Linked DNA regions of Astyanax mexicanus. The protein of the gene in region 2 interacts with the protein of the main gene of each other region in a pairwise test. Links are inferred from orthologs where the notes say so. Each region holds a gene or a part of one and is shown on either strand. Other genes may lie near its edges.

Region 1 (7,456 bases), on a different chromosome or scaffold from region 2:
ACAAAGTAAAGGATTGCAGCCGCAGTAACAGTCACTTTTACAGCCATTACATACATCACCCTGTGTCAATATCATAAAAATTTACTTGTGTGCATTATTAAAAATGTGGTTTAATACTGATATCAAGTCAATGTCATTTATTAAGCAAGGTTTGAGGTTTAATATCACTACATACTGTGTAGATCATGATCTTGGTTCAATTGCAACTTTTTGGTATAAAAAAACAAAGCAAACCAGAACTAAAATGTAACCATGTTTTTTTCTAGCTTGTTCTGGATTAAGGCAACTACAAGAATAAATTCACTATAAACACACTAAGAACACAATCAAAACATCAATTAATACCACATTTATTCCAGAGAGAAATCAGAATAATCAGCTACAGCACAAACAAAATTTACCTCTGTCATCAGACGCTTTAGGCCCTCCACCTCATCTTCTCCAGGATTTAATTCTCCACCAGGACTGAAAACAGACAGAAATAACAATAAAGATAGAATATGTCTCTTTAAATTAAATTTTAATTAAAAAAGCTTTTAAATACTATATGAGAAAACTGTTGATCAGGTAGATGATTATAATATAGTCACAAGGTTTGATTTACGGGGTCCTCCCACCTTTAGAGCAATCAGGCCAAATGTACTGTATTTTTCGGGCTATAAGGCGCACTTAAAATACTTATTTTTTCCCAAAAATCGTCATTGCGCCTTATAATGCAGTGCGCCTTGTGTATGGATTTTGCTTGTGTTTACTGACCTCGATTTTTATGTGGTACACGGCGCTCTGTTGTGCAGAATTCCTCACCCACGCCAGAAAAAGATCCCCCTCTTGGGCTAGCGCGCGGTTACCTTTGACTGCCGTACTGCCTCTCGGCTGTGGTTCAGGGTAGCTAGTTTCCACTGTAGCTCCGTGGCCAGAACAAGGTGCCGGTAAACTTTCCTTTCCACCCGTTCTGGGGTAATAGCACAAACTGTTTCTTTTTAGCGCTCACTTCTAAGTAAAGTTAACCTCTTAACACGCGCTGGCCCACCGGCGGGCCAGAAATATTTAATATTTCATAACTGGCTGTGTTTCTGAATAGTTATGAACAGTTACAGGTTCAATATAGACATCCAATATACCATTTTAAAGCTTAGAATCTCTGCTTTTGAGCTATTTAGCCTATTTAGCGGAATATCCTTTCAGAAAATAAACATTTAGGGCGAAATATGCCTTGGTTATGATTTTAATAATTCATAACTCTCATATTTGCGTTTATCGTTCGTCCATATTTCATCGAATGCGGTCATGTCATACACCATTCGAACCGTCTGGCTCTCCGGATTCCAGAACTGTGCTTTTACTGTAGGATGTATGTTTCATGAATTAGAGCTGCGTCAGAGCGCATGTTTCCAGTAATAAAAGGCTCTCCTTTTGTCCTGGGGTAACCTCCGGTCACTGCCGCCACCCCCCGAACACACACCCGCGCTCAGCCACAGGTCCTACCTTCAAAACGCGTCCAGACTAAAGAGAATCCATCAATCCAGTCTCCTGTAATCCACAGTTATATCCAAACAGCGCTGGAAATCACTTCATCCAGAAATGAAACTTATCCAATCTTTATCTCTGTTTTAAAACCGTTTTATTCACCGAATTCGGCACAACACGCTATTATAGTCAGAAGCCTCGCGGAGTAATGCGGTACTTGCTGTGCTTCAACATAATATTATGGTCTGTCGGAGCGTTGCGGCTACCGTTGTCAGGAGCCTCGCGGAGTAATACGTACTTGCTGTGCTTCAACATAATATTATGGTCTGTCGGAGCGTTGCGGCTACCGTTGTCAGAAGCCTCGCGGAGTAATGCGGTACTTGCTGTGCTTCAACATAATATTATGGTCTGTCGGAGCGTTGCGGCTACCGTTGTCAGGAGCCTCGCGGAGTAATACGTACTTGCTGTGCTTCAACATAATATTATGGTCTGTCGGAGCGTTGCGGCTACCGTTGTCAGAAGCCTCGCGGAGTAATGCGGTACTTGCTGTGCTTCAACATAATATTATGGTCTGTCGGAGCGTTGCGGCTACCGTTGTCAGGAGCCTCGCGGAGTAATACGTACTTGCTGTGCTTCAACATAATATTATGGTCTGTCGGAGCGTTGCGGCTACCGTTGTCAGAAGCCTCGCGGAGTAATGCGGTACTTGCTGTGCTTCAACATAATATTATGGTCTGTCGGAGCGTTGCGGCTACCGTTGTCAGGAGCGTCGCGGAGTAATACGTACTTGCTGTGCTTCAACATAATATTATGGTCTGTCGGAGCGTTGCGGCTACCGTTGTCAGGAGCCTCGCGGAGTAATACGTACTTGCTGTGCTTCAACATAATATTATGGTCTGTCGGAGCGTTGCGGCTACCGTTGTCAGGAGTGTCGCGGAGTAATACGTACTTGCTGTGCTTCAACATAATATTATGGTCTGTCGGAGCGTTGCGGCTACCGTTGTCAGGAGCGTCGCGGAGTAATACGTACTTGCTGTGCTTGTTGATTTATTGCTCAGAGATGTTGTTATTTTTCACAGATATTGTGAAGGATTTATTGCTCAGAGTTATTGTTACTGATATAAATAAAGTTTCATTTAGTGCGCCTTATAATCCAGTGCGCCTTGTGTATGGACTAACACTAAAAATAGACCGTTCACTCATCGTGCGCCTTATAATACGGTGCGCCTTATAGTCCGAAAAATACGGTATATGCTGTAATTTTTATAAAAAATTATATAATAAAAAGCAGTCCAATTTCTGATAGAACATGTAATTGTTAGGCAGACTTGTGCAGTTTGGGCCACCTAGGTACCAAGCATTATGTTTGTACCACCTTTGGTGCCTAGACCCCTTATGATGATCATAGAGCTGCTTATCATCACAAAATAGCTTTAAGTTCCACTTTAGAAATGTGATATTATGCTGCTGCAGTTCTATAAATTGGGGCTTTATGTAGATGAGCATTTTAGTCTTTTATTCTGGATATAAACTAGCTTTACTAAGACTGAATAGGAACAGTTAGTTAAAATAGTTACAGTTTGAAGAAGGTGGTTCCCAGCTGCAGCAGTAAGACATGGGGCAGTCTGTGCTCGTGCACTATCAGGACCCCCTCCACCGTCCGCCGCATTCCAATCTTCTCAAACTCCTCCCGCATCCGCTGGAAGCGGGCGGCCACTGAACTGTCCTTCTCATATAGTGGCTCCTTCGTGCCGAACGTGTAGTTCGTCAAAGGATAGCTGCAGAAAACAGAGACAACTGTGTGAAAAAAACTTACATTAGTACAGTACTAAATGCTAAGGGTAGGCGACTGGCCCAAATATAATATAATAATATTTCAGGGGGTTTCTTTGATAATGATAATCTTGGTGGTTTGGCAAAAAAAAAAATATATATATATTTTAATTAATTTCTTTAAGATATACTGCAACTTAATCATTGATAACGTTTATCTAGTTAATATAATCTAACCAGTTTAAAAAATATGTACAACATTTGTCTATTTTTAAACTACAGTAACTTACTAAGACTGATTTTGTAGAAAATAATAAAATGTGAATAAAAAAAATATCTTAACTATATCACTTAACATTTTAAACTTCCCAGCAAATAACAGCCTGCTTTTAAGACAGAACACTGCTGTTAATGGTAGACCAGTATATTGAAATTATATCGGCCGTTATAGCAGCCAATATGGCCAATATGACACAATAGACAGACATTCCTACACTTATATCTGATAATCATGATATTGCATATTGTGTTTATTTGTATGTCAATATTTTAAATGACAATATTTAGGAGGGAATTTGGAAGAAATGTTCATAGTTTATAAAATAAAACAACAATGTTGATTTTACTCAAACATACACCTATAAATAGCAAAATCAGAGAAGCTGATTAAGAAACTATAGTGGTTTCTTAACTTTTTGCAGAGCTGTAATTTAGTTGTACTGTGTAAGACACAGCCCAGCCCTACAGATCACACAACAACAGCTAACCAAGTAGCCTCTGTTGCTAGCTAGCTAGCTATCTTCTATGCTAACGCGAGCTAGGTTAGCTTAGCTACTGTTAGAGCAGCTTTTACAACTACACAACCAGAAAACACACTGATTAATAACCTCCACACCCCGCTGTTCCCGCACTGATCTACAGACTGAGCTGCGTTGTATAATATAACTGTGTGTATAAATGAAGGTGCTCACAGGTTGATGGTTCTCTCCAGGGTGAGCGGTTTCGCCGGGGGACTGATGTATTTGTTTCCGAACTGATTCACTCCGCGCGGCCAACCGGTGGACGAGCGATTCGGAGGAACAACGGACATAATTCCGTGCAAAACTGCGCACGTATAAAACCCGCTCAACCGCTTTAACTATTAAAAAAGAAAAAATCAAACCCAGCTCAGAACCAGGCCGCCCGCCGCACTCACTAACCAGCCCTGCAAACACCACAGCAACACCGCCCGCCCTCCGACCCGCCGAAGATAGAATAAAAGTCCATCAGCGCAAAATAAAAGACCCTTAAAATCTACAACTCTGGAAAAATTAAGAGACCACTTCAGTTCCTGAATCAGTTTGTCTCATTTTGCTATTTATAGGTATATGTTTCAGTAAAATTAACATTGTTGATTTATTCTATAAACTACAGACAACATTTCTTTCAAATCCCAAATATAAATGTTGTTTAGAGCATGTATTTGCAGAAAATGAAAAATGGCTGAAATAACAAAAAAGATGCAGAGCTTTCAGACTTTAAATGATGCAAAGAAAACAAGTTCATATTCATAAAGTTTTAGAAATCAACATTTAGTGGAATAACCCTGGTTTTTTGATTACAGTTTCATGCATCTTGGCATATTCTCCTTTACCAGTCTTTCACACTGCTTTCGGATAACTTTATGCCAATCCTGGTGCAAAAATTCAAGCAGTTCAGCTTGGTCTGACTTGTGATCATCCATCTTCCTCTTAATTATATTCCAGTGTTTTTTAATTTGGTAAAATCAAACAGACTCATAATTTTTAATGGGTCTCTTATTTTTTTCCATATACGGGTCATAAAAAATTCATGGAGCTTAACCCTTTCAGATCTGAACTATGTTGCAGTGATAGAAAAATATAAGAATACTGTTTTCTCTCTGTAATGCACACAAAACAAGACTATACAATTTAAATTAAATTAACTAACAAATAACTCTTTAATTTATTTTTACAGTACAATAAACATAATGAAAAAGTGTTTTAACTCACATAAAATTGGTCAAAATCAGCCCTTACATTAACTCGTTGGCTTTAGTGCTGCCATGACTTAATGTCTGCGTTGGTGTTTTTTACCCAGTACAGTGGGTGGGGCTAATATTTTAATTAGCTGATTCATGGTCTTTTCAAAGACAACATGTCTGAATTGATGGTACGTCCAACAAAACATATATATAATATAATATATGATGTCCATTGTAATGGACACAGGGTCTGAATAGGTTAAAAAAAGGTTAAAGTATTAAATCAGAATTTTGTAATAATAAAGGTGGAATATTTAATGTTGTAATTCACAAAATATGATAAAACATCCACCAGATGGATTTGAATCATTTTAATGGAATTTATGCGTCTGATTTTTAAATCTGGAAATATTTTGTTATTTTAAAATGTTTTTTTTTTCCATCAGTTCAAAACACAAGCAGGTTAAAATTCTATTTATGAATTACACTATTAAATATTTTAGGCTCATTAAATTGTTAGTAAATTGTATTTAAATATAACAAAACAGATATAAATACTTTTTTTAAGCTACACAACAATTTCAACAACAACAATTAAGACTGCATAGTAATAATATTAATAATAATAATAATAATAATAAGAAGAAGAAGAAGAAGAAGAAGAAGAAGAAGAAGAAAAGGAAGAAACAGAAGTATTTGTATAGTCATTATTTTATTTACTACAACTATTACAGCTACCCTAAGCAGTTTTTTTCTAAATAAAATATATAACACATTTAATTACTATTTAATTACAAATAAAACTGTAGAATAGATTGTATAAATAATAGACCATTTGTCCTCGTAAACCGAGTAAATCCCAAATAATAAAACACTGGTGAATATGCGATTTTTATATGGTGATTTTTGCAAAGATATTTCTTCTTAAGAACTAAATATGGCCTAATGTGCTAAAGTAATAAGAATCATAATTATGGGCCACACAGAGTTCTGCAAATAATCTCTCCATTTATTTTTTCTGTGAAATTTCCAAGGCAAGCCCTACAATTGGTCAGGACTTTAAGAGTAGCACTTAATGCCTCTGCCCAGTAGTCTGAAATGTATAACAATGACAGAAGTTCTTATATCAGGGCTCTTGTTTAAAAGAGTTACAGGACAACTGGTACATTTGGGGACATGAAATGTTTGTTACAAGCTTCAGATCAAACAGAAAATATATCTGACATGCTTTAAACCTGTTACAGTGTTCAAAGCAATCTAGTGGCTTAAGCTAATTATATGCTTGAGGACTTGCACACTTCTGTTAAAAGGCATAAAACTGACACTGTCTCTTTGCCCGGTTACTATTTGTAAGAGCGAAACTAGACTTCTTTTGAAATCATTTCCCATCATGCTCCTGGTGAACATTTACAAGAAAAGAAACTGTTGAACAAATAGAAGCAACCTTTGCCCACAGCTGTCCTTAGAAAAAAACGCACTACAGACACCACAGAATGAGGACATGACCATTTCATAAACGAGGACAGCTGCTTTCAGTTTTGGGCTGGAGAGAGCTATTCACTGTGTTTACTGTAACAAATATTATAGTATTAAAATAGGATAATATTAAACATGTCAGTTCAACATCAATCTTTGAAGAGAAAGAGAATCAGAGAAGAGAAAGATGTGAAGACGTGGATGGGGACAAAGTTGTCCTCCACCTCCATTGATGGCTCACGGTTGGTTCTGTTGTCAATCATGTAATTGCACTGTATAGAGAAAATGTCATAATAGCAATCTCACTTTTTTACTTTTTTAGGATAAGGTAATGCCTAAAAGTGTATGTACATTATATAATTATGTTTATTTATATAGTTAATTATTATTTATTATCATGTTATTGTGGATGTCAGCAGATGAAACAGTCAATACTTTCTCTGAACAATGACTAAGATACCTATTTCAGTTTTTTAAGAACCTTTTTTCTGTCTGTCTCCCTCTCTCTCCTATCGCTCTCATAGCTGATGTGTGTGGTTGAAGAGGAGTGGTTTTGACAGCAAGTTAAGGAAGTAATAAGTGAAGTCTGGTCAGCATCTGCTTTATCAGCACTAAGTCTTTTTTCTTGAAAAGCAGCCACTTTCTTTTGAGAGGAACAAGTCTGGTTTTGTTCGTCTACAACCAGGTCACACTTTTTTTGGTTTATTCGGTTTGACATGGATCATCTGAACTATACCTTCAATTCTACCTGCGACC
Region 2 (7,456 bases):
ACAGAGACTCTAAGACTATAGGTCAGTGGCATTCATTCATAATAGAGACCACAACTTGACACTTTAAAATGAGCCTTACTGCTGAAGCTGGCTGTTAGCATTGAGGCTATGCCACACTAAACCAAACACTGGTGTTATGTCAAGTTGTGCTACCCTTCAAAAACCCTTCTCCATCACTGAGCAATGAAAAATTCAAAGAATGTGAGATATAAAATCACACCTGTTCCCTTTAACTGTATTCTGATATTGATCTAGGCTTTCCAATTATCCTACCAAAATTATTTTAAATGTGCTTCTGTTCTGGCATATTTACAATAAAACACACACTAGGGTAGCACAACTCAACAGATCATTTGCTGGATAAAAAATATATATATTTTTAAACTAGTACAACGGGCTGAAATCACACTGCTAAACTCAAATACATAACATTAAAACCTAACTTTGCATTCCCCATCCCTGTGCAATTTTTCACTTCCTGACCACACGAATTTTCCACAACTTCACCTCTAAACTCCTCACAGATAAAGATGTTCATAACTGAGACCCTTCAATTCTACTCTGAATTACAAAAGTTAAAAAGAAACGACAAAAAATTCAGTTTCTTTTCTTTTTATTAGAAAAACTGATTTAGTCGAAGAGACCGAAGCCCATGTCGTCATCAGACTCCTCAGACTCCTCCTTCTTCTCCTCCTTCTTCTCCTCCTTGGCTGTAACACAAAGCATTAATGTGAATATTAAATTCATAATCAGGTCACAAATCTGCAGTCAGGTGATTTTCACTTATTATGAAAGTAAAAAGTCTAAGCTTTTAGTTTCTGGTCATTAAAAAAAAAACTTTTCAGACCTGAATTATGATCCAGTGATGGACCTAAAACAGCATTATTATATTTTTCTAACAAACAAACAAAAAAAGCTTAATATTTTAATATAGAAAAATCAAACTGTTTTCTGCCTAATGCACAATAATAAAAAAAAAAAACAAGACACTTAATATACTATATAGAAAAATATAATAATGCTGTTTTTTTTTTTTTTAACTAAATCAGTTTTAATTAATGCACTGGAGGCCTGTGTTTAACATTTTTATTTTTTTATATTGACATACCTTTTTACTAAACAAAAAAAAACCAAAAAAAATTAAAACATTCTAAAATCACATACAATTAGTAAAAATAAAATCCTCCTATTGCTGCTATGCCATAATATCCCAATTGTATTTGTTTCTCTCCTGTGCAGTAGGCGGGGCTAAGCTACTGTTTAATTGCCTTTAATTGACTTTCCCATTGGCCCGTTCATGTCCTATTCAATTTTTATTGTGCGCAACAAAACATTTTTAAAACAGTGATGTCCATTGTACTGGTTGCAAGATCTGAAAGGGTTAAAGTGAGCTTTATTCCAGTTAATACTTTAATATTCTATTAAAGTATTAACTGGACTAACAATCCCATATATTACTTGTATATTAAAGTGATAACTGTAAAGATAAGTCGTTTGTGCGTCACCCGTTGTGTGCATTAATTAATAGCTCTTTAAATGTAAAGTGTGTTACCTGGTGCTTCTCCTCCAGCAGCAGGAGCAGCTCCACCAGCACCAGCGGGAGCAGGGGCTCCACCACCAGCCCCCACGCTGCAGATCAGGCTGCCGATGTCCACGCTGCCCAGAGCCTGAACACAGAAAAACCACGTCACTGACCTGAGCGTCTATAAGCACTTATAAACCATCCATTAATCACTAATATAAAACTCGACACAAGAGCTTTAGGACTGAGCACTGTTCTAACTTTAGTGCACCAGAACACCCCACGTATTCTTATAGTATTACATTAAACTAAAGACTAAGAGGTGGGTGAGGGGGATAAGTGTACAGTACTTTATCCACCACTTTTATTGTTGATTTTTACATTTCTGTGCTTTAATATACAGCTCTGGAAAGACAATCTGATTTAGCTATTTATAGGTTTATGTTTGAGTAAAATGAACATTGTTGTTTTATTCTATAAACTACAGACAACATTTCTCCCAAATTCCAAATAAAAATTCAATCATTTAAAGATTTTATTTGCAGAAAATGAGAAAAGGCTCAAATAAAGATAATAATGCAAGTTTTAAGAGTTCAGAAATCAATATTTGGTGGAATAACCCTGGTTGTTTTTTAATCACAGTTTTTATTTTAATGCATCTTGGCATCATGTTCTCCTCCACCAGTCTTACACACTGCTTTAGGATAACTTTATGCTGCTTTACTCCTGGTGCAAAAATTCAAGCAGTTCAGTTTGGTGGTTTGATGGTTTGTGATCATCCATCTTCCTCTTGATTATATTCCAGAGGTTTTTAATTTGGTAAAATCAAAAACTTATTTCTAAGTGGTAATTTCTTTTTACCAGAGCTGAATACTGAATATATAGAGATGCTCAAAATGTTTAAAATGTAGTTCAAGTAAATATATAAATTTATCTAAGGTCTATTTTTGATAGAATTTTTTGAACAAACCATCAACCTACAAAAAAAACCCTACATACACAAATGAAATGTTAGTAAATGTTGACAAGATATTTGACTATAAGCAATAATTTAACAGTTAAACTTATTCAAGGCCTTATTTAATGTTCTTAATGCAGTAACAAACATTTTAAATGTAAATCCTGCATTTAACATTGACATTTGCTTGTATAATATTAGATTGCCAATTTTAATGTACTGACAGAAAAGCTACAACAGCATCTGTTTAAAGCCATTTTTACCTGTAATACCAGATTTACACATCTAAATCTTAATGAAGCCTTCCTGTAGCTTTACAAGAATTACCACCATGTCTTTATTATGAGCATCTTTTGTAGGTTTGCTACATCAAATTCAAAGACCAAACACATCTAGGCTCCACCTCTGAAGCGAGGAAATATGCAGATTAATCAATCAATCAATAATACCGCCCCTCTGCTTACGTCTAACAGCTGTCTGAGACACACTGTTCAGCCCAATCAGCCCCTAAACCCATACATCACCCAATGCCCCTCCCAAACAAAATAACCCCTCCATTTTTTTTATTTGAGCAGACTGGAGTCAGCTAAAATTGGGGGTTTACTTACACTTTAACTTAACATCCATCCCTTTCAGATGTGATCTTCAACAGTTACACTAAAAGCATGCTTTTTTATATTAAGCTGGTAAAGGACTCTTACCTTGGCGAACAGACCGGGCCAGAAAGGCTCAATGGTCACTCCAGCAGCCTTGATCAGGGCGTTCAGCTTGTCCTCCTAAAAAAAAATAACATTTAGTGTGTTAAATCCACATGAGGCTACATCATAAATTGAAATAAATAAATGAAGATTAAAATCCTGATGTAACGTAAACAATGCAAAAACAATATAAATCAGGCCAGAAATAGTTATATGCAGTAAAGCCTTTAAATAGATTAAAAGATCTGTAAAAGCAGAAAACACTCTTAAAAGAGCCAATTTAGTTTCATCTCCAGTACTAATCCTAAAGCAAGCCTACATTCTGTATAAATAGGATTGAGATGTGTGAACAGAATCGTTTACACACTGTCCTGTAGTGATGCTCTCAGGCACTTTAGGATGTTCAGTATGTTACTTGTGTGTCACTTAGAAACATGAATTAAACTGACAGTACGCTGTAAGGAACTTAAAAATACACTACTGCAACAAAAATAAATATTAAACCATATTTGGCAACATTACTAAAAAAAAAAATCTTATATGGCACTCCACTAGTTGAGATTTTCACCAGATTGTAATAAAAATTGTGAATGAACAAACATGTCATGATACTAATGCACTACATATATAAAATGACAGACAGATAAGTCTTCGATATTTCAAGAAAAACGAGAACAGCAAAAAAGTGGAATCACCCCTGATTTCAAGAGAGAGCTACCAGGTTGTATTTTTTTTTTAATGTGGAATTTTAGTTTTATTAGCCAGTTTGCACTTAGCTAGTACCACCAGGTGTTCCGTCAAGTTGTAACACTCACCGAAAACGTGCTTCCTAAAAGCACTGCGCATGCGTTGACCTACAGTTAAAATTCTCTTGTTTATTTTTTATTTTTTGTGTGTTTGTTATTCAACATGTAAGTTAACGTTACTCGCCCTCGCTGCACAAAACTGCAAATTAAAATTATTAAAAATAATAAACAACTTTTTTTTTTAAACACTAGTTTTAAATGACCACTCACTGTCATAACGTTGAAGACCAATTGATTTATGCTCTCCAAAAAAAATACTATATAGACTTCCACTGAGAATATGCTCGATTTTTGTGCTTTTTGAGCGTTTGTAAAGCTAAATATATAAGTCACAAGAGAAGCACAGTTTGACGAGTAGCACAACTTGACAGAACACCGGCTACAGTGTGGCTCAGTAAACAGACCCTATATTACCCCTGTTATTATTATCAGAGTATGAGAGTTAACCTGAGCTGTGGAGTTTAACAGTAAAGAGCTTTAATATGTTATAGATTAACTAATTACACAGTAAATCTAAAAATCTCTTTCCCGCTCCCGCCAGTCAGTAGTGTAGCAGTGTGTACTGTGGTAATGGTAGTAATGGCGGCGGCCGGGGCCGCAGCGGGGGGACAGGACCTACCGTAACGGTCACATCATCGTCGTGGAGGATGAGAGCGGAGTAAATACAGGCGAGCTCGGAGACAGAGGCCATTGTTCTTTCAGTAGGTTACAGTTTTGGACCTGGATGCCTAATATTAGCGGTGCTAGTCGCCGGATTCTAGGGCCTTAGCTTCGTTAGAAGAACCGAGCACCTTAGGCACGTTCAATCGTCCTCACACACGGAGCGGAAAGGGAGAGCGCAGGGGCGGGGCTTACGCTTATATCCGCTACTGCGTCACTTCAGGGGGCGGGACTACTTCCTATTGGCCATCGCTCTTGTCATTAAAATAAGCCCGCAGTTCCCTCAGCCCGTTTAGTTTAGATACTATTTCATTATTTTGAGATACTAACTCATTATTTTGAGATAGTAAGCCATTATATTGAGGTAGTAAATCATTATTTTGAGATACTATTTCATTATTTTGAGATAGTAGTTATTTTGAGATACTATCTCATTATTTTGAGATAGTAAGTCATTATTGAGGTAGTAAATCCTTATTTTGAGATAGTAATTGTTTTTAGATACTATTTCATTATTTTGATGTAGTAAGTCATTATTATAAGATAGTAAGTCTTTATTTTGAAAAAGTAAGTCGTTATTTTGAGATACTATTTCATTACTTCGAGATACTATAATTAATTTGAGATATTAAGTAATTACTTTGAGATATTTAGTCATTACTTTGAGATAGTAAGTCATTATTCTAAGATAGTACATCGGTATTTTGAGATACTATTTCATTATTTTGAGATAGTAAGTCATTATTTTGAGATAGTAAGTCATTATTTTGAGATACTATTTTATTATGTTGAGATACTATCATTATTTTGAGATATTAAGTCATTATTTTGAGATAGTAAGTCATTAGTTTGCGATAGTAAATCATTTTTTAAGATAATAAATCATTATTTGGAGATACTATTTAATTATTTTGAGACAGTAAATGAGTATTTTAAGATACCAAATCATTATTCTTAGATACCATTATTTTGAGATATTAAGTAATTATTTTAAGATACTATCTCATTATTTTGAGAAACTCTAAACTAAGTCGTTATTTTGAGATACTGTTTTATTATTTTAAGATACTAGTAGACTGTACAAAGAAAGAAGCAGGTGAGACAAAAATTATGTCAGAATAAAGAGGTAGCAGTTTACTTGATAATAAGAATAAAACATATGTATTTTTTATTTTAGGTGGCCGGAATGAGCTTCCATACTTTTAAAATAGGTTGCACCAAATAAACTTGTATATACATAGGAGCTAGTACCTACTAAATATTTACACATACCCCTGAACAGGTGTAAGCTAATGAAAATAATATATGACTAGTTTGGAGCTTCAAGCAGGACAAATGCTATATACTATATGTTATCCTATATATTATCCAATAGAAAAATGCATGCTGTTAATCCTGTAATTATTATTAGTGAAAATCATCAACTCTATGCATGAGTTAGTTGTTACTAACTAGTAATACACTAAATATAATTTGAAAAATGAAACAAAAGACCAGAAACACTGTACAGGAGTTTTGGAGGCTTTTATTTATTTGTGGGTATTTTTTTTAAAGTAGCTGAAAAAGCACGGCTCCAAACACAGGCCATACAGCAGAAGGTGTTCAGCAGATGGTCCCAATAGGCCACATTAGTAAAGGAATCAAAAACATAAACATAAAGCATAATATTATAATATCTTCCCCTCCCTCTGGTCCAGAAATGAGCTCTGATTCTCACAACAGCAGAAATCTAAGTACCAGAATTGTTGGAAATAATTTTCACATTAAGAATGGTACACAGTCCAAATCACAGTCCCTTTGGTCACCACCATTTATTACATTTTTTAGTATTGTGGACCCAGTTAGTGACTTACAATTTCTGGAAAACTTCAAAAAGCACTAAAAGTTGCAGTTTTAAGCAGAAAATAAAAATATTTATCGCGTGAATCGAAGCTTGGACTTCACAAACAAATCACCATTTGAGTCCCGTTAAACACTTCAGTGGAATATAGTACAACAAACTCACACACAACAAGCCATTCTCACCCCAAATACACATCAACAGACTCGTCAGACCTGTGCTTTTTCCTCTTTCAGTCCATCTTTCTCAGTTTAACCATTATTTTAACTTTCGGTCTCCCCCTCTTTAATATGACTAACTATGAGAAATTACAACATCAGTTCATTTGGCACCAGTATGATAAAAGTCATATTTCCAAAAACACTATTTTCATAAAGATATAATCAAAGAGTACCTGTCGAAAATACTTCTGTCTTCAAATGAGCTTATTTTCCTCATGATTTTCTGATGAGGAACAACAGATCATTGATCAAATCATTGATAACTCACTCACTTGTGCCTCAGACGCACAACCGTGATTAACAATCAGCAAAATTCCAACCTACATCAAACTGAACCCAATCGTATTAGCAACCTGTCAGCCCAGCAGCTCATACAGTACTGAAAAATAAAACAATGCAATGTTTCATCTCCAATTAAGGACAATGAAATCAGTTTGTCAGACTCAGGACAGGAAATGTAAGAGTGTAAAAGGTGGAAGAGACAGATGTTGGTCACAGTCGATCACTCCACAGATGAAAATCCCCAGTCCAGTCTGCAGATCACCCAGTGTTCCCAGTATGCGCAGACCATAATGCACTGTGTACTGTCCTCTCCGTCCTCTCCGTCCTCTCTGGTGTTGATGTTTAGCAGGCTGACTTAGAAAACTCTGAGCTGTAAGGAGTTTAATCCTTGTGGGCTTTTCCTTTTAGGTCCTCGTCATAAGACACGCCATACTCGTTCACTCTGGTCTTATCAACAGGATAGAGCCTG
Region 3 (7,456 bases), on a different chromosome or scaffold from region 2:
TGTGTTGTTAATAAAATGCGTTTTCTCATTTTGGTGTCTTGTCATTATTATTTATGGGGATCATCTGGATTTCTGCAAAAAACAGACGGAATCCAAGTTGTAAGTAAGTGAACAAACAAATTTCATGTCATATTTGCACATCTATTGAATTAATGGTTTGATCTATCAAGGCTACACCTTGGTAATACCACTTAGCCCTACATTAGGATTTTGCGAGTGCACACCTAGAATGAGGGTGTCCCGATTTTAGTTAGGTTGGAGGGGTAGGTTAGGGGATGTTTTAGGCTACATGACCCTTCAAACTGAAAATTTTCAGAGTACTACACTCCAAACCGAGGGCTATGAGAATCACTGGCAAGTTGGTATGGCACAAGCGACAAAGAAACTCACTAATTTGAGCATTTCCCTTGATTACAATATTACTGCTAAGATTACCACAAGAAAATTACGATAACCCCTATATTTCCATAGTTTAATGTGTAGTTTCAATGTTTTGAGGCCTTTTTCTTCATAACATGCATTAAAAATTCACCATGAGTTTGTCTCAGTAGCCACTAGTAGACGTAGTATCTTAAAATAATGTAATATCTTAAACTTAATGTCAGTATCTTACAGTTTTTCTCAATTGGTTTGGCTCATTTCTTGAAACTGAGATGACATTTTTAAAATAACATGGACAAATCCCCAAACTAACTTGCAGTTCCTCACAACAGAATGGCATTTCTCATTGCTTTCATCACATTTCAAATGCTTTGTACATGTCTCAAGCACTTAGTACATCTTTACAAATGGTTATGTACAAGTAGCCTACACTTAACACAATACTCCTACATTTAGTACATTTTCCAAAATAATGCATCTTGTTGGTCTATCCCAATTGGTTGGTTCTCAGTGTAATGGTTGTTCTCTCCAAAACATGCCAGCACAATTTCATCGTATAAGTCATCATCTGCAGAATAGTCTGCTCAATTATCAAAATGAGTTACGAAATTGTAATACAATACAGAACACATATTTTGGAACATTTCATAAATTCATGACAATCAGGTGAGTAGGTAACAGGTGAAAGCAGGTTATGACGAGGAGGAGTGTCCCACATTACAGGTGACCAATCCATCAGTTTGTTACCTGACAGGTGTTGTCTATGATTTTGAATGCTGGCATTGCTGTATATATACAGCTTGGCCTGGTGCTAGTTCTTTGATGCTAGTCCTGTGATGATATAAGGATCCTGTGGCGATCAGTGTAGAGGATGGCTCAGGCATTCACGGCGCTTCTTCCCACAGTGCATTGCTAAAGAACACATCAGAGGCGATGTTGATGAGAATTTATGGCCAAACAGACTGCAGCGGATGGATGGCCAGGAAGATGACCAGGAGAGAGAGGGGAGTGACACGGAGTAGTCAGAATGTTACTGTATTGCATTTGTTTGACTGTTTTTTTACATACTGTATTTTTGTTTTGTTTTTGCAGGTTTTTGTATTTTGTATACATAGTATATTTGATACATTTTCCTTTGTATTTTTTTTTCTTTCCTACCTACAGTCATGTGTAAAGATGTACTTGTAAATAGAAATAGTTACAATTTCCTCAGTAGAATGAGTGCAGTGTGTGTGGTGTGAACATTGTATTCCTTTAGCTAGACCTCTGCCATAAAGACAAAACATCTAAGCATTTTGACTTGCAGTACTTACACAATACCAAAGGGACAATGCATTTTGGGGGCACTGATGGTTTGTGTGAGAAAGGAAATTAGTTTTGACACATGGGTAAACTGTTTTTGGAGTGATATGAGCATGTGATGAGGATCCATGTAGTTGTGCTGCACCGTCCGGTATATTTTGACAGGAGGATGAAATGAATGAAAATGTGCCAAAGCAATTGAGAAGGATCTATGCCATTTTTATGGTACTGACTTTTTATATGGGAGAGGGACTTCATTTTGAAGCAAGAATGAACGTTTTGGGAGACATATGACATTTTGCTGGTTATCTGAAGTGTTGCGCAGAATTGTAAGTCTGTTTGGCCAATTTACCTTATAGTTATAGGAATGTCATCTCAGTTTCAAGAAATGAGCCAAACCAATTGAGAAAAACTGTAAAATGATGTAGTATCTCGAATATAGTTACTTAGTATCTTAAAATAGCGACTTAGAATCTCAAAATAACACAGTATTTCAAAATAATGATATAGTGACTTGAAATAACGACTTAATATCTCTAAATGACAACTAAGTGTCTCACAATAATGACATAGTATCTTAAAATAATGACATCGTTTTTAAAAATATTCACCTAGTATCCTAAAGTAACAACTTAGTATCTAAAATGAAAGACCTGGGATCTTAAAACAATGATAAAGGATCTTAATAAAATTGACCTAGTATCTACACTACTAGGTCGTTATTTCAAAATAACGACCTAGTATCTTAAAATAACGACTTATTTCTAATAATAATATCATAGCATTTTAAAATAATGATTTAGAAACTCAAAACAACGACTTAATATCTCTAAATGTCTCGGCATCTTAAATAATAAAGTTTAATGTTGTTTAAATGTTGATTTTTTTATTTTTTATTTTTTAACCTTAAAATGCGCAATGCAATCAAAATAGTCATAATTATAACGTTTAATCAATGTTCTTTGCTGTCAGGGATAGTGTCTGAAAGTAATGAGGTAAGTTAGCATCAATTGAGATTTAACAAATTACTTACATTTATTTAATAAAAAAATATTATTTTATGTTTTATTTTATAGTATGTTTAATGTTAAGTGGCGGGAATGTGCTTTTACAGGCCTGTGTTGGTGGAGGTGGGATATAACAGTATTGCAGTGAACTGTATTATGAGAGGCTCCCGCAGACGCGCTACTTAGGCTCGATTTTGCGATTCTGCAATGGCGGCTACGCGCGTTTCCCGGCGAGGCCCCGGCCACAAAGCCTCACGCTGCGCTGTTGGCGTAGCGGTTTCAGTAATGGCGTCTGTGGCTGAGATGCGCTTGGCGTTGGGAAAATGAAGCGCAGGAGAACTTATTTCTGTTATTAAGAACGCGGGGTTTCCTTCGGCGAACTTTGCGTGGGAAAGCTGTGGAATCTCCTGGAGGTCCGAGCTGCGATATTAGTCCCTGTCGTACCGAGATGATGAAGCTCAAGTCCAACCAGACCCGCACGTACGACGGAGACGGCTATAAGAAAAGGGCCGCCTGCCTGTGCTTCAGGAGCGAGTCCGAGGAGGAGGTGAGGCCGGGGATGCGGAGCGGAGTTCGGGGAGCGAGTAGGCCGCAATTGAGACTAGAAAATATAAAATGTGCTTTAATTAATGTGAGATTAATAAATCCAGGCCGCGGTTTAGTTGTAGATAAACGAGGCGAATTACAGAAGAAGGAGAGTCGGGTGCAGAGATTGAGAACAGCTACCTGTGTATAGCTAATAGACTAAAGCTAACGATAGCTAGCTAGGCTAGTTAGCTTATCTTAGCTTATTTTAGCTTAGCTGGTGCGGTTTGTCAATGAAGCGCTGCTGAGCCGAGCCAAGCTGAGCCGCCGTCTGTTCGGTTACCCGGGCGGGTAGCGCGGGCTGGGGAACCGCTAAAAAACTTTAACCCTGTTTATACATTTAAAGAGGCTCCGTATATATTTTTAAGACAGACTTCGTGCAGGAGATCTGAAAATATAACTACATAGCTAGCCAGTTTTGCTGACACCAGTTGTGTGCGGCGGTTGCGCAAAAACAAAAAGCAGCGCTAGTTGAGTAGCTAGCGGTTAGCTAACTACCTAGCTGGCTAGCTCGTTGGCCACCAATCTGTATGAGCTAGGTTAGCTAACATAGGCTAGTTAGCTATCTGGCGGTATACATGTATACACAGCTCTGGGGGAAATGAAAAAGAAACCACCTGAAAATTATGAATTTCTTTGATTTTACCAAATTTAAAACCTCTGCAATATAACCAAGAGGAAGTTAGAGAATTTTTTGCACCAGGAGTAGAGGCATAAAGTTATCCAAAAGCAGTGTGTAAGACTAGTGGAGGAGAACATGCCAAGATGCATAAAAACTGTGATTAAAAAACAGGGTTATTCCACCAAATATTGATTTCTGATCTCTGAAAACTTTATAAATATGAACTTGTTTTCTTTGCGTTATTGGAGGTCTGAAAGCTCTGCATCTTTTTTGTTATTTCAGCCATTTCTAATTTTCTGCAAATAATTTCTCTAAATGGCAATATTTTTATTTGGAATTTGGGAGAAATGTTGAGAAAAGTTATAGAATAAGACAACAATGTTCATTTTACTGAAACGTGTATATATATATATAAAAAGCAAAATCAGAAAATTTGATTCAGAAGACTTGATACAGAACTCACTTTGTTAGTTATGTATAGGTAGTGAGGTAGTTTAATGGATAGTTGGCTGTATGTTACTGAGAGTATAGAGCTTAATCTCAAGGTTAGCTTGCATATTGCCTATCTGTCTGTCTAAAACTCTAGCTGGCCTTTTAGTGAACTGTTTAGCTAGCTAGAATAATACCAGCAATACTTTATTCTTTTATGAAACTGCACTTTTTTTAAAATCTCAGTTTCAAACACTATAAAAAAAAGATAGCCTACACCATTTACAGAGGGGCATCAACCCAACAGTAGGCTAATTATGACATAAAATCAAAATATGTAGAAGATGGAAACATTCAACAGACAGATAGAACAGATATATCAGCTCAACAGTAGTATTACTTAGAACAGATACAACATCTACAGAGGGGCATTAACCATAGAAAATAGAAACATTAGACAGACAGATAGAACATATTTACAGAGGGTCATCAATCCATCAGTAGTATTACATAGAAGATAGAAACATTCAACACACAGAAATAATGTGTGTATCTACAGAGGCGCATCAACCCATCAGTAGTGTTACGTAGAAAATAGAAACATTTAACACAAAGACAGAACAGATACAATGTATACGAAGGAGACACAGCCCAACAGTAGTATAAAAATAGAAGATAGAAAAAATTAACACACAGACAGAACAGATAATCTTTAACATCTACAGAGGGTCATCAACCCAACAGTAGTATTACGTGTATTTTTAGATATTAGCAAGTTAAGCCATAGGCAGAAATTATCTGAGTCTTGAGATTAGATTTAAATATGGAAGGAGAGAGGGATTATGTAAGTCACATGCTTTATAGCTATGTCTATTATATGTAGCTATATAGTTATTCTAAACCAGTGAAGCTATAAGACGTGTTGTATCAGATGTGCTGCTTTGTGTTGATTCAGGTGCTGCTGGTGAGCAGCAGTCGACATCCAGACAAGTGGATCGTACCAGGAGGGGGAATGGAGCCAGAAGAAGAGCCCAATGTTGCTGCTGTCCGAGAAGTTTGTGAAGAGGTCAGACCAGTTAATCTATATGACTTGATGCCGTTATTGCACTCATTATTAATTCACTATAAATAACAAATCATCTCTGAACTTTGAACATTGCATAATGACACAGGTTTGTTTATGTAGTGTTTGTTACAAAAGACCTACTCATAGAGCAGCTTCACAGAGATCCATGTTCGAGCCCCAGGTCAAAAGGATAATAGCAGCAGCAAAAAAAAAAAAAAAAAAACTCAGATCAGGAGATCTGAAGGAATAGTTCTCGAGGGGAACCAAGAGATCATTTTCTCGTCCAAAAAACAGCCAGATGCATACATCTAATATCTAACATTTTTAACTACTAAATCTATACACTAGAAGTTAGAATTTTCTTCAGGGGAGCTGAAGATTGGATCTGTGATTTGTGTTAATCTGAGTGAGTAAAACAGATTTACAGTAGTGATTAGTTGTGTTATGGCTGGCCCACACTACAGGATATTCAAGCTGATTTCAAGGCTGATTTGGTCTTTCAGGTTGATCGTCAACTATCGTAATCTTTCCAGATTATCCTGTAGTGTGTGGAGTAGGCTCAGACAGAAGATCTGTTTAGCTTGGTTGTAATGTTTTACTGTGTAAAATATATAAGGTCATACGCATGTCTTACAGTTTGATGTGAATGGGAATTAAAATACATTCATTATGCGTTTAACTCAATAATCACCCTCTCTATGTCAGTCAAAACCCTGCGCTTCGAGCTCTGTGCTACCGAATAGTGCAACTCGTTGTTATATTCCTGTAGCTCAGGCTAACCCTGATCTTCAGCTCATAGATTCTTGTGATGGGCAGTGATACGCATCACTCATGTGGAGAGGGAGATCACGTTACAGTGGAGTGTTAAAGGGCGTTAAACTCAGATTAAGCACTGCTCATTACTCTACACCCTGGCTGTGCTCCAGTTAGGCAGATATCCAGCAGCAACACCAGGCTAAGCCTCTTTAGGCCTCTCAAAATGTAGACTTTTGCTCTTTCAATGCTCAGTACGTTAACGTAATGTGCTGAAATTAAGTTGGTTGGTCCTGCATCTTATCAGTCTTATCGGTGTTTACACCAATGTTCCATTGACCTGTTCATTTGTCCAAACTACCCATGATTGCCCTTTGGTTAATCACAATAGCTTTCTAATTATAAATCGTGGTGGAAAATGGGAAGTGAGTGAGAGGCTATGCGGAAAATACTGTATGTAATGTTAGTGTTCATTGTGGTAAGCGTCTGAGATAGATTGTCACATTTGATGACATTTAACTTTGACAGTCTGGTCCATACAGTTCTATGTTTTATTTAGCTTTTGTTTGGTTTCGGTTTGTCTTATAATGAGAAAATTAGTAATTCTTAACCTATTTAGATTTTATAAGTATTGAACTTTGGTTGAGTTCATACCTCCTGTGTTTGGTCCGGACATTGGGACTTTTCAGTTTGGGTTTGAATCAAAGTAGCAGGTGTAAAAGGGGGTGTCAACCATGGTCTGGACCAAAGCACCAGAGTTTGTTCCGGTGTTCTCAGTCTGGATCTACTGAACCATGGTCTGGTTTGGCTGCACTTTTCTAGATGTTTTGGACTTTCAGACCAAGTTGAGACATCAGCTGCCAGAGCCCTGGGAGAGCACAACTGGCCTTGCTCTCTCTGGGTGGGTACAGTAGATGGTGCTCTTTCCCCTCATCACTGCTAGGGTGATGTTGATCAGCACAAGGCGTCTGTGAGCTGATGTATCAGAACCGAGTCGTTGCACTTTCCTCCGAGCGTTAGCACTGTGATGCTACTCGGCAATGCAACATCAGTAGCAGTTCGTAAAGAGGCGGAGTCTGACTTCACATGTGTCGAAGGGGCATGTGCTAGTCTTCACTCTCCTTGTGTTGTGGCATCACCAGTAATGGGGGATATACAGCTGAGTAGCAGGTAAATGGGTGGGACAATTGGCTTAATTAAATTGGGAAAAAATTGATGACAGGATGTAGTAAAAAAGTTATTTAGTCCATTCAGTCATTAAAATGTAGTGTAAAACCAAAACTAACCAGACCAAATGTACAAAACAAAGTG

Evidence for each region.
Region 1: the proteins of rplp1 (region 2) and nudt21 interact in a two-hybrid assay, tested with the Homo sapiens proteins (2 studies listed by BioGRID and IntAct). The link is inferred for Astyanax mexicanus from reciprocal best matches to the Homo sapiens genes RPLP1 and NUDT21.
Region 3: the proteins of rplp1 (region 2) and nudt3b interact in a two-hybrid assay, tested with the Homo sapiens proteins (2 studies listed by BioGRID and IntAct). The link is inferred for Astyanax mexicanus from reciprocal best matches to the Homo sapiens genes RPLP1 and NUDT3.

The regions. Positions count from the first base shown.
Region 1 is NC_064416.1:26,200,015-26,207,470, reverse strand, and holds the start of nudt21 (cleavage and polyadenylation specificity factor subunit 5), read right to left. Parts: upstream 4,487-7,456; 5' UTR 4,331-4,486; coding exon 4,212-4,330; intron 3,246-4,211; coding exon 3,045-3,245; intron 466-3,044; coding exon 402-465; intron 1-401. Other genes in the region: leukotriene B4 receptor 1-like, read left to right, coding at 7,417-7,456. UniProt on the Homo sapiens protein: Component of the cleavage factor Im (CFIm) complex that functions as an activator of the pre-mRNA 3'-end cleavage and polyadenylation processing required for the maturation of pre-mRNA into functional mRNAs.
Region 2 is NC_064410.1:2,543,209-2,550,664, forward strand, and holds the start of rplp1 (60S acidic ribosomal protein P1), read right to left. Parts: upstream 4,831-7,456; 5' UTR 4,676-4,830; coding exon 4,604-4,675; intron 3,257-4,603; coding exon 3,182-3,256; intron 1,668-3,181; coding exon 1,553-1,667; intron 711-1,552; coding exon of another isoform or gene 631-710; exon of another isoform or gene 597-630; intron 1-596. Other genes in the region: clptm1l (cleft lip and palate transmembrane protein 1-like protein), read right to left, coding at 7,369-7,453. UniProt on the Homo sapiens protein: Plays an important role in the elongation step of protein synthesis.
Region 3 is NC_064412.1:5,168,863-5,176,318, forward strand, and holds the start of nudt3b (diphosphoinositol polyphosphate phosphohydrolase 1), read left to right. Parts: upstream 1-2,934; 5' UTR 2,935-3,138; coding exon 3,139-3,237; intron 3,238-5,281; coding exon 5,282-5,392; intron 5,393-7,456. UniProt on the Homo sapiens protein: Cleaves a beta-phosphate from the diphosphate groups in PP-InsP5 (diphosphoinositol pentakisphosphate) and [PP]2-InsP4 (bisdiphosphoinositol tetrakisphosphate), suggesting that it may play a role in signal transduction.